Rattus norvegicus: one gene and its partner. The protein of the gene in region 1 purifies or fractionates together with the protein of each later gene. This does not show direct contact. Links are inferred from orthologs where the notes say so. Each region holds a gene or a part of one and is shown on either strand. Other genes may lie near its edges.

What was found.
Region 2: the proteins of Hnrnpa0 (region 1) and Dhx9 purify together in Homo sapiens (affinity purification with mass spectrometry; 3 studies listed by BioGRID and IntAct, with this or other methods). This does not show direct contact. The link is inferred for Rattus norvegicus from reciprocal best matches to the Homo sapiens genes HNRNPA0 and DHX9.

What each region holds. Positions count from the first base shown.
Region 1 is NC_086035.1:6,509,203-6,518,099, forward strand, and holds Hnrnpa0 (heterogeneous nuclear ribonucleoprotein A0), read left to right. Parts: upstream 1-3,926; 5' UTR 3,927-4,166; coding exon 4,167-5,090; 3' UTR 5,091-6,584; downstream 6,585-8,897. UniProt on the Homo sapiens protein: mRNA-binding component of ribonucleosomes. Specifically binds AU-rich element (ARE)-containing mRNAs. Involved in post-transcriptional regulation of cytokines mRNAs.
Region 2 is NC_086031.1:68,173,776-68,182,572, forward strand, and holds part of Dhx9 (ATP-dependent RNA helicase A), read right to left. Parts: intron 7,205-8,797; coding exon 7,090-7,204; intron 5,084-7,089; coding exon 4,965-5,083; intron 4,566-4,964; coding exon 4,417-4,565; intron 2,994-4,416; exon of another isoform or gene 2,854-2,993; intron 2,131-2,853; coding exon 2,084-2,130; intron 1-2,083. UniProt on the Homo sapiens protein: Multifunctional ATP-dependent nucleic acid helicase that unwinds DNA and RNA in a 3' to 5' direction and that plays important roles in many processes, such as DNA replication, transcriptional activation, post-transcriptional RNA regulation, mRNA translation and RNA-mediated gene silencing.

The DNA of each region.
Region 1 (8,897 bases):
CACCATGTGGTTGCTGGGAATTGAACTCAGGACCTCTGGAAGAGCAGCCAGTGCTCTTAACCGCTGAGCCATCTCTCCAGCCCTTTACTGATGTCTTAAGGAGTTTCCCTCAAAGTTGGAAGGTTTTATCTCAGAGGAAATTGCTGCCCAACAAAACCTTTTCGATCCTTGTAAAGATTCAGCAAGGTTAAGTGTTATACTTAGTCTAAGGCAATGGTTCTCAACCTTCCTAATGCCATGACACTTTAATGCAGTTCCACAGGTTGTGGTGACCCCACTAACCCACAAAATTATTTTTGTTGTTACTTCTTAACTGTATTTTCGGTACTGTTATGAATCGTGATGTTTCCCGATGGTCTTGGATGACCCCCAAGTGGGTCATGACCTACATGTTGAGAACCCCCGGTCTAAGGTAAGATTCCAGTGGATATCTGCAAGACACAGTGGAGACCAGGGCATCATCTTGTATCCATTAGGATAGCTCCTTGATCTTCTGGGCTTGTCTCCTTGCCATTTACCGCTAGTTTTGATTACTAGAGTATGAAGCCCGGCTCCGACTGTCGCTGGAGGATCAGCTATAGCACCGTTGACGAGCTGGCTGGAGGGTCCTTCTGCACTGAGCAGTATAGGAACTGTAAGGGGTGGAGGAGAAAGAAGCCTGGGCAGCAGGAGGTGGGAGCCACAGTGGGTGGCACCTCCCAAGGCCTCAGATATGGGGACCCCTTTAGGTCACTTAAGTGCTACAGCTCTATGTGGGCTGAGGGCGTGAGATCCCTCTGCCTGTGACAGCACCCAGTGTTACAGCTGTGGGCCTGGGTGTCCTTGAAGACTTGATAGTGCTGTGGGACTCTTCTGGTGACCAGAGCCTGTATTTCCTACTCTGTGGCTACTGATAGCCTGTTCTTCCTCATTCTCAGCCTTCCCTCCCGCTGCCCCCACCCTGCTGGCCACCCCTAACTGGCAGGTGCTGTGACTACAGCTGTCGAGTGGCTGGTAGGTTGGCTTTCAAAGGCCCCGAGTGCTGCTTCCTGGGGTGTCCCTGCTGCTTGCTGCTCCTTTTCAGCCAATTACCCTGTCAGGCTGTACAACTAGACCTGGGTAAGCAACGATCACTAGAAGGAAACTTCAGTGGGTCAACTGTTGCCATAGCAGGGAAGGCGGCATGGGAGTGTTTTTCGGCTGACACACCATGTGGGTCTGACCATCTTCCTTACATCACCCTCTCTAGACCACAATGGGAAGGAAGGCCCTTCTGGGGTAGGAGAAAATAAGAGTTTACTCAAGCACCATAATAATCTGGTAGAATGCCTTCTAAGGTGTGTGTGTGTGTGTGTGTGTGTGTGTGTGTGTGTGTGTGTGTGTGGTGTGTGGACTGTAAAATACCATCCTCTAGTCCACACACAGCTGTTGTAATCGCAACTGACAGCAGCTGTGGATGCCCGCCTGAGGTCTGCCCAAGAGTTGGCTCAAACGCAGTGAGGCAGGGGTGGCATAGGGACTCGAGGGTTCCTACCCTCACTTTGGACCTATTTGTCACTGACATATTCAAGAAGAGGGGGCTGTTGTCTTTGTGTACTCACAGGTGGCCCCACCAGGCTCCAGTGCATAGGTCCAACTCAATAGTCAAAAGAAAGTCCTGGTTAAACTAAATGGTCAGGAAAATAAAATCGGCATGAATCCGAGAAAGGGACCATAAGGAAGAGCTGGGTTGACACGGGTGGGAGAGAATAATCATAAACTGTCAAAAGGCAAAATCGATTAAAAAAAAAAAAAAAAAAAAAAGACCTGAGGCCAGAGAAATGACTCAGAAGTTAACAGCACTGGCTGCTCGGGTTGGATTCCCGGCGCCCACATGGTGGCTTTAAATCATCTGTAACTCCAGACGAACACCAAACAGCTCCTTGCCTTGAACTTTCTGCTTGCTGTGCTATTTTAGCCCTCCCGTGTTCAAACACCGTGATGCACACCCCACCCGACCTGCCGCTTGAATCCAATCCTGGCGTACAATTTTGGGGCAATAAAGCTACGGTCTTAAAAACCATTACTTAAAATGTTTTAAACATCATGTATAGGTGCGGGTGTCTGCATATGCACATGAGTGCAGGGGTGTGTGCAGAGGCCAGAGCTTCCATTAGGGCGGAAGCTCTCACCAGGGTGCTGGGAACTGACCAGAACTCAGGTCCTCTGGAAACAGCAAGTGCTGCTAACCAGTGAGCCATCTCTTCAGCCCTCAAGTTTATTTTAAAATGGGGGCGGGGGGGAGCCCCACGTTTTCCTTGTTGTATGTACTGGCTGATTTTGTGTGTCAACTTGACAGAAGGTAAGAGCCATCGGAGAGAAAGGAGCTTCAGTTGAGGAAATGCCGTGAAATTCGGCTAGAGGGCATTTTCTCAACTAGTTGATCAATGGGGAAGGCCTAGCTCACTTTGGGTGGTGGGTGCCATCCTTGGTGGTCCTGTGTTCTATAAGAAAGCAGGCCGAGCAAGCCATGTGAATCGAGCCAGTAAGCATCATCCCCCCCTCCTGGTTCTAGTCTTGCTTGAGTTCCTGACTTCCTCCAATGATGGACTATGAAGGGGAGATGGAAACCAAATAAACCCTTTCCTTCCCAGCTTGCTTTTTGGTCATGGTGTTTTCGTTGCAGCAAGAGAAACCCTGAGACACTGTAGAAATCGAGATCTTGTCTGTGAACACTAAGCACTGTACCCGACAGTTTTTAATCTAGCTATATTGAATAAAGTTGGTAAAATGGCTGTATGTGTTCACGAAGCTGGCAGCAGGGCACAGAGGTGCACCCGAATGAGGAAGATGGAAAGTAACGGGAAAGGGGTTGCTGGGGACACAACTCTGATTCGTGAAGCCCTGACTTTATATTCCCAAACCACAGGAGGGATGGTGGTGAGAACGTAATAAAAATGTGAAAACTTCATAGAACATGCTTGGGGGGGCTAATATCCCATGAGTTCGAGGTCAGCCTGGGCTGAATAAAGCCCGTCTCAAAGGTAGCAGCGTTCAGAAGGGGCAGATTAAACACTGGCTGGCTCGCACGGAACATGTCTGCAGGAGTTTGCTGCAGAGGAACAGGGCGGAGCATCGCTAGCCGCTACCACGGGCCGGGCTCGGGCCTTGTCTGGGTCACCCGGCCTGAAGGGCTTTGGAGTTGTTAATTTCTCACGGACTCGCTTGGGCGAGCAGAGTGGCACGGGGCAAGAGTCACATTAGCTTAACCGGGCCACCAGCCCACCGTAAACGGCCAATAACCGCTTTGGGGGGTCAGGCCTCGGCCCACCATCTTTGTGCCGCCCGAGGGGAGCTGACGCCAGGTGCGGGCCGGCCCCAACAGTCAAGTTTTCAAAAAGCCCGCGCGGGGCCCCGGGCAGATCCGTTGGGAACGGCCAGAATTCCCGCGAGGGCGCGCGAGGACGAGGCGTGCGGGCGACAGCCAGCTCCGCACAGGAGGCGCCGGGCCAGCGCTCAAGAGGTGCGCGCCCGTCCCGCAGCGGCGGAAAACGGAAGTGTGATCCAGGTTCTGTCGCTGATTGGCTATCCGGACACGTCCCTCAAGGGGCTGGCGCGAACGCCACTGAGGAGTTGGGCCTGGGGATCCGGCAAAGGGAGGGAGGGAAGGCTGCGGGAACAGCCGCGCGGCTGACAGGAAACGCTCCGCGGACGCGCGCGGAGGGCTTTGGCGGGCCGTCTCCGGGGTGCTGCAGCACCGCGTCGAGGGCGAGCGTGGAGGCGGAAGAAGCGGCAGACGCCAAGGAGCCCGAGGCCGGGACGGAAACCGCGGAGGGCGGGGAGGCCGCGGCCTAGAGCGGCGCTGCGGCGCGGTAGGCGGGACTAAGGCGAGCGCGGAGGCGATTGGCTGGCGGCCCGGCGTCGCTGGTGACGCACCGCGCGGGGAGGGTGCGCGCGCCTTCAGCGGCCTCTTTGTGTGGTGTCCTGATAGGGGAGCGGAGGTGGCGGCCGCGGCGGCCCTGGTAGGGTTCCAGCGTCCTCGGCTCGCCCTCGGGCCGGCAGCGCGCCCCTTCCCTCCCCCTCCCGCCCCTTCCCCGCCGGCGGCGGCGGCGGCCGGGCCCGGGCTCTGACGAGGCCTCGGCGACCGCTTAACGGCGACGGCGACGCCGCGGAGCGCGCAGGGCGGGGGCAGGGCCCGGGCGTCCGACATGGAGAACTCGCAGCTGTGCAAGCTGTTCATCGGCGGCCTGAACGTGCAGACGAGTGAGTCGGGGCTGCGCGGCCACTTCGAGGCCTTCGGGACGCTGACGGACTGCGTGGTGGTGGTGAACCCCCAGACGAAGCGCTCCCGCTGCTTCGGCTTCGTGACCTACTCGAACGTGGAGGAGGCGGACGCCGCCATGGCCGCGTCGCCGCACGCGGTGGACGGCAACACGGTGGAGCTGAAGCGCGCCGTGTCGCGCGAGGATTCGGCGCGGCCCGGGGCCCACGCCAAGGTGAAGAAGCTGTTCGTGGGCGGCCTCAAGGGCGACGTGGCGGAGGGCGACCTGATCGAGCACTTCTCGCAGTTCGGCGCCGTGGAGAAGGCGGAGATCATCGCCGACAAGCAGTCCGGCAAGAAGCGCGGCTTCGGCTTCGTCTACTTCCAGAGCCACGACGCGGCCGACAAGGCGGCGGTGGTCAAGTTCCACCCGATCCAGGGCCACCGCGTGGAGGTGAAGAAGGCGGTGCCCAAGGAGGATATCCACGCGGGCGGCGGGGGCGCGCGGGCGGCCCGGGGCGGGCGCGGCGGCGGCCGGGGCCGCGGCGGCGGCGGGGGAGGCGGCGGCGGCCGAGACCAGAACGGGCTGGCCAAGGGCGGCGGCGGCGGCTACAACAGCTACGGCGGCTACGGGGGCTACGGCGCCTACGGGGGCGGCGGCGGCGGCGGCTCGTACGGCGGCAGCGACTACGGCAACGGCTTCGGCGGCTTCGGCAGCTACAGCCAGCACCAGTCCTCGTACGGGCCGATGAAGAGCGGCGGAGGCGGAGGCGGAGGCGGCGGCAGCTGGGGCGGCCGCAGCAACAGTGGACCGTACAGAGGCGGCTACGGCGGCGGCGGCGGCGGCGGCTACGGCGGAGGCTCGTTCTAGAAGCCGGGTTCCGGATGCCAGCGGCGGCGGCGGCAGGCGCGGCCTCCCTCGCCCTCCGCGCCCACCCCAGGTGCCCCCGGGAGAGCCGCTCACCCCGGGGGGCGCGACCCCCGCTTGCCTGCCCGTCCCCGTCCCCCCGAAGGTGGACTCGGCCCCACACACACATTTTTGTGTTACAGTCATTGATGGACTCTATTTTTTTATTATTACTTGGACCTTGGTCGTTTTTATACTAGCAAGATGTCTCGTTTTAATTTGTGTTTTTTGGGGGGGCGGCGGGCGGGGGGCTGAACTTGCTGATTCTGTAGCAAAACCGGGGTGGGGGTTGGGTGGGAGGGTAGTTTACTTTGTTGTAAGGACTTGATACCTGGCTACAGCGTTTTCTATGAAACCTACTTGGATCCCATGCCTGAAATTTGGAAGCATATGTACAAAAATCATTTTTACGTTTTATTTTTAATAAATCATTGTGTTTGACCGTACATGTCTAACATTTTTTTTCTAGGATCCACTCCTTACCGTTTTAAAGGAAATTTTTGTTAGGTTTTGATGTGTACTTTGAGAAGCTTCAAGGAGGTCTTGTGGGTTCTTTTTTTTTTCTCCTTCCTGTTTGCCCAGTTAGTGATGTGTTGAATTTAACCTTTTACAGACAAAACGTTTTGAAGTGGTGGATGTGGCTGTTCAGTTTCTGTGCATCCATCTCTGTAATAAGCGGTTTGCTTATCATCTTGACATGGTTGGTTCTTCTTTCTCTGAGAATTTACTCAAAATATGTACTGTGTAGTTTTAAAAGAAACAGTTTGTGTTTAAAGCATGTGTTCTCATTCATATAAACTGTTTAAAACTTTTTTAGATGACCTAGTTTCACCCTTATTGGTTTGTCTGTAATGAATGGTTACAAATAAGGGTTCTATTTTACCCTAACACTAAATGAGTTTTTTTAAGATGTATTTTCAGAGCAGGTTTAAAAAAAACCGTTTCTTCCCTAAGTCTGAACTTTGTCCTTTTAAGTCCAACCGATGTAGCACCATCTGCTGGTAGAGTGGCAGTATAGCTGCAAGAAAGTTGGTTTAAAAAAACCAATTTCATCAGATTTAGCAGTTTGCCACCAGAAGTCTGCAGACTTGAAAGGTCCGCATTTACTTGTAGCTGAGACGGGCTTCCCAGGAGTGTAGTTAACAGCCCGTGATCAGTCGCTTTTCTACGTGAGATTTGAATATGTAAACTGCTATGCATAGCTTGGGCAGTAGCCCCAAACTGCTCTGATAGCTACTGAAGCAGCTGTGTGTACTGGGGTTTTAGGTGCAAGTTGTAAAACAAAATATCTGTATTCTGCTTGGTTAACGTGTATTTGTAGCCCTTCATGCAATAGAATTCAAGTTGTTGTTTATAAAAAAAAAAACAAACACTGATAATAGGAGAAAATTGCCTTCCTGAATAGAAACATAGAATAGCAACGTTTATGGATATCACAAATAAAGACTTCAATTCTTACATGATCGAGTGAGAGTATGTATAACCTGGTGGGTGGGTTCAGAGTACCAGTTAACTTGCTGGGTTTAATGGTATGGTAAGAATCCGGCTCAGTTTGAAAGCCCAAAGCCTTATAGTAGCAAGCTTTTGGGAAGATTTTTTTTTTTCACATTTTAAAATATTTTATGTGGGAACCTCCACATTTTAAGTTTTCTATAATTTCTAAGATCAGACTCTAGCCAAAATACTGTAATTACTAAGGCTCTTACAAAGGTAGGAGAGGGCCAACGTTAGGCTGGTTTGCCCAGTGCAGTGAACCATAGCTGATGCTCGGTCCAAGAATTTAACAGTCGACAGTGTAGGGGTGTGTTTGCACATGAAAGTAAGAATTGCATGAACTTCTTTTTCACCATTCTTCCCTTAAATTCCTGCTTGAAACTACACTTGAAGATCTAATGCAGGCTCTTTGGGATCCCTCTAGGGTACAGGAAAAGATCTAAAACTCACGTTAACCTCTGATTTAAGGTTATATTTGATGAAAAAACTGAGCTGTTAGGTATTGTGGAAGATTGTCACATGTGAGGTGGTCAGTTTTTCAGTAAGTGACTTGTAAAAAGGTAGTGGATGACTTAAAATTCCATAAGATCCCACAGTTCCAGGTCTATTAACAGATCAGTGTTGGCGGTGAAAGGAAGATGGTAATGTTTTTGTAGGCACTTCCTGTGTTCCCCTAGCCAGCCTTTGGCACGTAGCGTGTTTTAAATGGGTAGACAACTGTGATGTCTTGCTTCACCGGTGAGAACTTGGAGGACAGGAGGTGGTGATAAGAGTCCTTTGAGTATAGTTTGTCATGCCTGAATGTTTGCTGATTTTTCCAGAGTGTAAGTTGTAAGGTAATTATTAGTTAATAGTGTGGAAGATCCTTACATTGGTTTGTGTGTGAGCGTGTGCCTTTCACCCAGCACCTGTGGAGGCAGGAGGACGCTTTGGAGTCCACTCTCCTGTTGGCTGGGTCTGGGGATCTGAGTTCCTTTACCAGCTGAGCCATATTTGATGGACATCTTTAAAGATGGTAATAGGATGCCTAGCGAGCGCAAGGCCCTGGGTTCGGTCCCCAGCTCTGAAGAAAAAAAAAAAAAAAGGTGGCCAAAAAAAAGATGGTAATAGGATCTTTTTAAGTGTACTTTTGAAAAAAGGGGAATGTGTGTGCGAGTGCAGGTTCCTGCAGAGCTCAGAGTCTGGAGCTGGACTATAGGTTGCCAGATGTGGGGGGGGGGGGGGGTCCTCTTCAAAAGCTGAGCCATCTCCAGACCCCAGAATTCCAAATCTTTAGAGTTTAAAAGTGATTTAGGTCATAAAGTGCTATCAAGTATGACTTGAATGTGCACATGCTTAAATCCTAATGTGGATTCTCGTTTTTAGGAAAGAGACAGAGGTTGGCTGAGAATTTGGAATTTAGGATTCCTTCCCTCAAGACCACAGGTCTGTGGATTTGTAGACCTTGTTGCTTACAGTTTTGGTTTGGATCACTTGTATTTCAGGTTGCTGTCTACGTGTCTGCTAATTGGAAGTGTACTTGGGAGTGTGGGTGGGTTCGAGCACTGCCTGCCTGTAGCTAGTATGTGGGTGTGACCTGGGTAACATCCACACTTGAAAGTTTCTTCCAATTCCAGCGTCAGTGTGATAGGGAAAATCTCTCAGCCTTATTTTGGCCTGGTTTGTCCCCCATCCCGATACTTTGATTTCTTGTCGTATATCCTTAGCTGGCTTGAAACTTGCCATGTAGACCACACCGCCCTGAATTCTTTGGCATACCTAGTGCTAGGATTACAGATAGTTGCTCTTTGGGTTCTTTGGAAGGACCAGCCACTGCCCGGCTAAGTGGGGCTGTTTTCTGCTTGCAGTCCCATTGCAGATGGGCTTGATGTCCTCTCTTCCTGCTCTCTTAAAAGTGGAAGATGGCATTTTCCCCCCTATAAAAAGTTCCTTGAAAGCCTAAGAAGTAGTTAGGAGTTCGCGTGTTATTTCTGATTTCAGTCCGCAGACATCCCGTGAAGAGGCCCTGTTACCTCTGTTGTACCGGGCTGCAGATCCCTAACGTAAGCAGTCTGCCTTCAGATGCTAGACTGCTCAGCTGCTCTTCGGTGTTACACGGTGAGTTCTGAGGTCATAGTGGTAAACACTGCTGTGTCCTACTTAAAAGGGCACACTATTCCAGTGTGTTAATAGATGTTAGCATTCGCCTTTGCTCGGATTGTAAATGATTTACCAAATATTTATATTATGGAGCTTTGTCGAGAGGATGGAGAACAGATTGGGACGTGCTGGCTGACG
Region 2 (8,797 bases), on another chromosome or scaffold:
CATTATCAAGTCCATTAGCCTGTCACAAAATATCCAGACTCAACACAGAATGTTAGTTCCACCCAGGTCAGAGCTACACAAGACCTTAATTCAAAATGAAAAAAAAAAAAAAAAAAGTCAAAACAACTACTGACTATAGGTTATATACATCAAAGTTTTCCATAGACTGATAAGTATTTTTGTTAAATACTTTACAAAGTATTTCAGGCCATTCTTCCAACTCTCCCAATCAAATGAATTGAGCCACTGTTATATGGTATGAATTACATAAAGTAAGAGTCTGTCAGTTAAACAGATACAGAGATACCCCCTTTTTACCCTAACATACCTGACAGGTCTTAATCTTAGTCCTCAAAAAATAAAGAACATAGGCACCATTCTCAGCCTATCGTTTTCCATGGATGACTTCTATTCTGTTTTCTCAGGGTTAATGACCTCATGGTTTTTGTTTGGTTGTTTTGAGAGAGTCTAGTGTAGCCAAATCATAGCCTCCAAGAAGGGTGGTTTTTGTTTTTTTGGTGGCTGTTTTAAGACAGGGAGTATTTCACAGTATTCTGAATTGCTGCTCTCACAGCCCGGACACTTTTCTGATTCTCCTGCATCATCTCCCAGGGCTAGGCCTGTACCTCCTTCCCTAGCTTATAACATACTTTGGAATCAACCCCAGGCCCCAGAAATTTATGCAAATAACTGCCAACTAAGTATAAGCCGCCAGTCCTCATACTTAAAAATTTTGTTTTTTGGTTTGTTTCATAGAAAATATGTACATTCAGGGCCAACAAAATCTGAACTCACTACCATTGAGACACAACATGAAAAGAACAATGTTTGCACATTATACTGATATAAAGCACAAGAACTTGTTCATCATAGGCAAAGCACCTCGGCTTGTTTTGTGGTACAGGGGACCAAACTCCATAGCCTTCAAGTAATCAGTCTACTAATCTCCTAAATCCATCTCACCTATTTGCTTTCTCAGACTATCCTTAAACCTTTTGGGGGGTTTTCTGTTTGTTTTGTTGCTCCAGACAGGGTTTCCTCTACGTAGTGCAGGGTGTCTTAGATTTCACTTTGTAAACTAGGCTGGCACCCTCCTCTGCCTCCACCTCCTGAATTACAGGATTGTTCCACCACCACCCAGCATCTTGTTTTTTAAAACAAGGTTTCAGGGGCTGGAGAGATGGCTCAGCGGTTAAGAGCACCGGACTGCTATTTCAGAGGTCATGAGTTCAATTCCCAGCAACCACATGGTGGCTCACAACCATCTGTAAAGAGATCCGATGCCCTCTTCTGGTGTATCTGAAGACAGCTACAGTGTACTTATATATAATAAATAAATAAATCTTTAAAAAAAAAAAAAAAAAAAACAAGGTTTCAGTCCGTAACCCAGACTAGACTGGAGTTTATGGGCTGTCCTCCTTATACCTTAGCGATCCATACAGTGCATACTTGCACTTAAACCCACGCCTAGCTTTGACTGCACTCTCATGCTGCTAAACAGCTATCTTTAGGCCTTTAATGCTATTACCCAATCCAACTTGTGTTAAATTCCATTTTCCTATTTTAACTCCAAACTTGAATCCTTCATGATTTGACCACTAAAATATTACTGTAGAATCTTTTACATATGCAAATTGGGAGATAAAACCTGTGAAAAAATTAGTAATATTCTAACATTAATATTTCAGGTACTACTGAGACCTAAAACTTGCTACCTCAATAGATTTTTCAGCATATTTCAAGATCTAGACCAGTTAGTTACCACAGGTTGTGACAGCTGCTTATTAGGACAAAGGACTATCCACTGTACACCTCTTTGTCTCAACTTTCCCTAGGCCTGCTAACACCTTCCCCTCCTTCACTTGACAGTATTAATAACTCCTCCAACCCTATGTGTTACTCAATCTATTCTTTCACATTAATTTTTTTCAACTTATGTAAATGCCAAGATTGTCTTCATGGAAAATTTTATAACTACTTCTACACTGTTACATGTTCTACCATAGTAGCCCAAGCCTTCAGTGTAAAAATATTTCTGCAAAAATGTTTAATAAGAGTATTTTTAAAAAGTAATTACACTTACTTCTGCCCAACTGCTTGATATAAATGGTCATTTCTGCAATAAAGCTCCTGTAACAACACATACAATCAAAGTTAGGAATTGACCACTGTAAATTACTCCATTATCTCCCTAGTCAGGGAGGGTTTTCCAACTGCATTAGATAAGACATTACAGCAAAAACCATTTTGAACACTTATTTTTGTCCAGTCCTAGAACAGAAAGTATGTAAACTGCAAATATATAGGACATTAGTTATAAAGCAGCTGATGAGCTTTCTTTCATGAAAAAAAAGTTATGGTTTTAGATTATAGATTTACTTATTTTTACTCCAAGGCTCGTGTCTCAATATAAGAATGCTTTCAATGAAAGAAGATTGCTTATCTTGGAGAGCTAAGAAAAACACCAAACTCCTCAAAAGTATCTATGTATATATACTAATTTACAACTGCAACTTATTAGGGTAGTTTACACATGCAACCACTATATACCAGTAGCTCCTGTGGCAGAGTTCAAATTATCTCAAGCTGGAAGAAGTCCTTGGTTACAAAAAAATTTAGCCTACTTTTTTAAGATACTTAAATCAGGGCCTAGAGGACAAAAGTCATTTTCACATTATAGATAGCTAAAACTGCTAGCAGGCCCTAGGAGTAAATATAGGTTTTAGGGTTTTATGCTGGTCCTTTACTGCTCGGGCACACTCAAACTTGGCTTTGTGCTGTGAATAAAAGTTTAGGTGAAACTTAAGGAAAAAGATAAGTTAGGTTCCTTCCTAAACTTCTTTGTCAACTGACCTTCAGGCACAAGGGCTTCAAGGGGGGTCAAAGGCCACTGGCTTTCAGGGGAACAACATCCACCCTTTCATTAATGACACCGATGACAGTATGTTTCTCAGCCAGGCTTAAAGTCAGCACTCAATCTCATTCTCCTCCACCTAGGGGGGAACAGCAACACCAGAAATCAGTTTACAATAGTTTCCCATGTGATTGCTTAGTTCAGCCTAAGCATCAGCACATGTGTATATGAACACAGACCTCTGGTGTTGCTGTCTGTTATGCCTTTCAATAAAGGACATACAGGAGCAATGTGTCCCAGCTCCAACTGTCTGCCTCTTACATTGTCTTGTCCCGAATTCTTTGTTTTACATCAGAAATCAGTAAGATACTGACATCAAATGTTGGTGGTTTTTTTCTGGGGGGAGGGCAGCAATTCAAAATAATAGTAGTAGTGGTAACATTGATGTTGGAAATTTGAGCTCAAGGCCTCATGCATGCTATGCAAACATTCCACTCCTGTGCTCCAGCCTTTCACTTATTCTTAAAAAAAGAAAAACCACCAGGAGCTGCCAAGTGCAGTAAGTTGTAGACAAAGCATTAAAGGAAATGGTGTCTTTTTACAGCCTGGAGTTTTGTTTTTAAAATTATGACACCAAAATGGAGAACGATCTTAAAAATATAACACTAAGTATGTAGTATTTGAGAATTCAGGACTGAACAAAGCAGTAGGAAGCAGGAGGAGCCATGCTCTCATCATTTTGAATATGTTGTCAATTTGTTTTTTGTTTTGGGTAATGATAATTTTAGGGTTGCTACTTGCACCCAAGGGAGAACACTTTAATTTCAGAAAAATGTTTTAAATTTATTTTGGATAATTTATTTTTTATAATTAAAGACAGCAAATCGAATCGTTATTTTCCAGAACCACTTCCTTTTCTCTTCCAATAATAATGCAGTGCCTCCCTGAAGAATCTAATCTGTATGAGCCTTCCTGGGAGTAATAAGTACTACACCCTGGAATGCTCTTAGGAAGAACATCAAGCAGGCTGAGAAACATACGGTCACATTATCTTCCCTTACATTGTTTTATAAGCTTAACAGGAAAAAAAGGCATTCTATTTAAACCATACATAAGAACTTCGCGATCCTTTAACTTCATAGTACTCAAGTAACAGGATTCTTAAAAGAGCTGTCAACATTAAACCGAGGTCAAATTTGGATGTATAGGTAATACATACAATCTACTTCTAAGACAACAAAACACTGCAGAACCATTTAAGTATTTAAAGCTATCACCAATAAAACTACACTGGGGAGAAAAAAATCACCACCTCTGACCAATTAAGTCAACAACTAGCAAACGACCACTGTAGATATTAACTGGCATCAAAGTCCAGCAACAGACCTTTTGCAGGACTTCTTATAGAATAGCATTACATTCTTAAGCAAAAGTTATGGTAAACTATAGTTATATATCTTTTCACAATTCACTGCTGCTGCACAGAATTAACTGAGGAACACTTAGTAAACAAAGTCAAATCACCTTAATTTTTTACAAGGAAAATAGTGAAACAAGCAAACCTGTTGTGGTCGGGACCCACTTGGGTGTACTTATATTCTCCTTGGATTTTTTCTTTTTGGAAATACTGGTTCAGACGAGCCTTAGCATTTTCCAAAGTCCAGTTTCCATGAAGCCCAGCATTTAAATCCACTTCTTCTGACTCTAGAGTCTGTAGAATCAATGATGATTAAATTTGGCTGCGCTACTTATATGTACATAAGGAATACTAAATAACATACAGCTTTTTTCAATATAAAACTACATTTTTGTAGTGCTGAGATCCAGGGGTTTGAACATGGCTAGACAACCACTTTATCACTGAGCCTGTATTTTTGAGATAGGACATCACTATGTTCTTAGAACCCTATAGTCCAGCCTGGTCTTGAGCTAGTCATTCTCCTGACCCTAATGCTGAGACTACAAGATGTACACCAGGCTAGATCTAACAACTAGTAAAATAGGCTATTAAGCTAGGGCCACTGGAATGAAGACCAGACTGGGATTCAAGATTGTCTCAAAATGTGTAAGTAATCCCACTTTCAAGCATGTACTACATGAGACTGCTTACCGCTTGCACCTCTTGCTCTTCCTTTCTTGAGTAGTAATCCTTTAAGTTGGCTCCTCGGTCCCAGGTGGGTCCAGGAGAACCATAGCCAGATGAAGACTCAACTCCAGAATTATTTTCTGCTTAAAAAAAAAATTGCTCTTTTAATTATCAAGTTTGGGGGTGGGGGAGCTACATCTACATATTTTAAAGATTATCCCTAATGACAATTTGACACTCCATGTTTGGATACATGTTTTCAATAATCTGGAAGGACGTCTAAACTAATGAGAACTATGCTGATCAGCCTTATTTCTTTGCGTGTGTCTATGTCTATGCATGTGGAGGCCATAGTATAATCTCCACAAAACAGACAAGTAGGTTAGTCTGATAGTTAATGTTAACTGGTAACTTTACTCCAAATCCCCTGGTAGTATGGTCTGTTAGAGAGAAAGAAGATAGACCTGTCCACTATAAATGCTTCGTTACTTGGACAGTAAAAACAGAAACTGAAACTAACAGTTAACAGCACAAATTCATTGCACTCTGCAAGGTGACCAACTGCTTCAAGTTTCTGTCACCTTGAATCTTGTCATGAACTATGAAGCAGAATAAATAAGTCCTTTCACTGGACTTTTTTTCCTTCACAGAACAGTAAAATACATTAAGGTACCTAGCCGGCCAGCCATCTTTCTCACAGACCCATCTGATTGCACATTGTGGATGCTGGTGGGTATAGAACATAACTCCTTATGCTTGGTTGTCTCTTTCTCCTCAGCACTAACATGTACTTTTAAGGCGCTTAGTTGTCTTTATATTCAGAATAACAAACTAAGGACAAAATTATCCAGCTAGGAAATGTCTAGCTGGCAAAGGTATCAGCCTGATTCTGAGTTTGTATGCTGAATGGGTTTTGCCCTGGCTATAAAGGGGCCTCAAACACAAGAATATGGAAACACGCAGGGGAGGTTAGTCTGTCTCTATATTATGTAGCTCTGGCTGTAGCTCTGGTATGTAGACCAGAACACCTTTGAACTCAAGAGATATTTGCTTCTGCCTCCCAAGTGCTAGAGTTAAAGGTCCATGCCACCATGTTTGGCCCAATAAATCTTTTTTAAAGTAAAATGTTCTTTGGAGATGCTGGGAATGAAGGTCGGTTAATACAATCAATGCTCGTTTACAAACCAAGCAAGCACTGGGTTTAACCCTCACCACAGAATAACAACACTCGTGTGATGAACATGACTGAAGCCCAGTTTTGGGGAGAGAGAAACAGAAGGATCTAAAAGTTCAAGTTCGTTCTCCAAATTACAGCCTAAATAGAAACAAAAACCCCAAACCTAATAAAGATTCTGAAATGAAAGCTAATCCCAGGACTATTAATTAGTAGCCCCTAGAAGTTTTGACTCTTTGTAAAACTAGAGTGGGGTGCTCAAGAGATGGTTCAGCAGTTAAGAGCACTGAGGACTGAGATGCAGTAGCCATGAAGGTTCCGGTTAGCACCAATTGTAGGGAGTGGTATCCCCTTGTGGCCTCCCCAGGTACTGCAGGCAAACACCAATATGCATCAACTCCATAGTGACAGGTTTTTTTTTTTTTTTGGTTCTTTTTTTTGGAGCTAGGGACCGAACCCAGGGCCTTGCGCTTCCTAGGCAAGCGCTCTACCACTGAGCTAAATCCCCAACCCCGTGACAGGTTATTATTACAGCTTTGTGTTATTGCTCAACTTTTACTAGACAAAGCAATGGGATAGATGCTGTAAATTGTTTCAGTATTAGTAAGTCAAAATCTTACTCTAATCCAAATAAAAATTTCAGCAGGGCTAGAATCTACAAATCCTATTACAAGTAGGAAAAAACAAAAGGTTACATATTAGATACCACAGGGTATCTTATATATGCAAAGCCCTAAATCTGACACACAGGAACATAAACACAAAAAAAGACAACTCACAAAATTCTTTAACCCACTTAGTGCCCAGAAGTATTGCAGGTAAACACCTATAAAACTTAAATCTCTTATAATAAACTCAAACAGTGGCTGCTTAAGTGGGATGATCTAATAAACATGTTTATTGACAAATGGTGAGATGGATGATCAAACATGATTGTGTTATTCTCAGTCAAGCAGACATATTCAAGTCCCTTACCTGCTTTGAGAGCCAGATGAGGAGGAAGTGGTCCTCCCATGGGTGGTGGTAAGCCTTCTCCAGTACTTGCTGTGCTATCAGATGTGTCACTAAGTATGGGTGGGGGTGGTACAATCTACAAGAGAAAACGTCAAATGTCAGTACTTGGGCTTTTTTAATTTTTATTTGCAGAATAACAAGACTCAAGATTACTCAAAGATGCCCATATATTAAACATCCTTCCACATAGTATTTTTTTCATCTCTGGTTTAGTGTGAAAACCAAGTTTCACATAACTAAAGAATGATACTGGAACCCACCCCCACTTGCTGGTATCCTAAGTGCATGCTACACCCTGGCTTTCACTATTGGTTTGTTTCCTTAGTATCCGAACATTGTTTTTAAAGATTTATTTATTTATTTTATGTATAAGAGTAGATTGCCGGGGTTGGGGATTTAGCTCAGTGGTAGAGCGCTTGCCTAGGAAGCCCAAGGCCCTGGGTTCGGTCCCCAGCTCCGAAAAAAAGAACCAAAAAAAAAAAGTACATTGCCGCTATCTTCAGACACACCAGAAGAGGGCATCAGATCTCATTACAGATGGCTATAAGACACCATGTGGTTGCTGGGATTTGAACTCAAGACCTCTGGAAGAGCAGTCAGTGCTCTGATCCACTGAGCCATCTGTCCAGCCCAAATGTGTAGCCCAGGCTGGCTTCGAACTCGTGATCCTCCTGCCTCTGCCTCCTTCAGCAAATCTTACTAGTGTGTGCCACCACAACCGGTTGAACATTTTTTAAAGGATGTACAATATATCCTCCCCCCCCAAGATTTATTATGTATACAGCATTCTGCCTGCATGTACACCTATATACCAGAAGAAGAGGGCACCAGATCTCATTACAGATGGTTATGAGCCACCATGTGGTTGCTGGAAATTGAACTCAGGACACCTCTGGAAGAACAGTCAGTCAGTGAATGATCTTAACTGCTAAGAGATCTTTCCACCCTCATGCTGTTTGTATTACTTTATATTATATGCACAAGCCACTATACCCAGCATTAACTTTTATTAAAAACTGGTTGGTGCTGGATATAAAAATTTAAGGGTCTGGCACATACTAAACAAACACTACCACTGTACTCATTATCCAATGAGATTTTAAAATTCTGAAAGTTAAATAACCATGGTGTTAAATATAAATTTGACTTCACAAAAATTTAGCTTTTGAACTATGTATAAAAAGGGTGTGTGCATGTTAAGTGTGAGAACCCTTAAAAGACTAGACATATCAGATCCCCTGGAGCTGATCATAGAAGGTTGTGACCCACCACATGGATGCTAGGAACCAAACCTGGACTAAGCCATCTTTCCAAAACTAGATATATTTTATGAAGTCATTTTTATTTCTGCTAATTCTACTATTTCTGGTTTTATCTTTACAATTTTTTTCTTGCCCCACTCTTTTTCAGTTTTGAGCAGCAAGGACACCTGTGCACTTAGAAAGCTTTCTTACCTGAGCACAGCAGTCCCATCACTTGGGACACTAGACAACAATCACGAATTCAAAACCAGCCTGGACTATCAGTGAGTTAAAGTCAACCTTAAGAAAAGTTTTAAGAATCATCTTAAAGGAGTAAGAAAGCAGCCAGGAGCAGTAATGCACATGTTCAACTCTAGTAATCACAAAGAGGTGAATTCCTGCAAGAAACATACTGTTTAAAAAAAAAA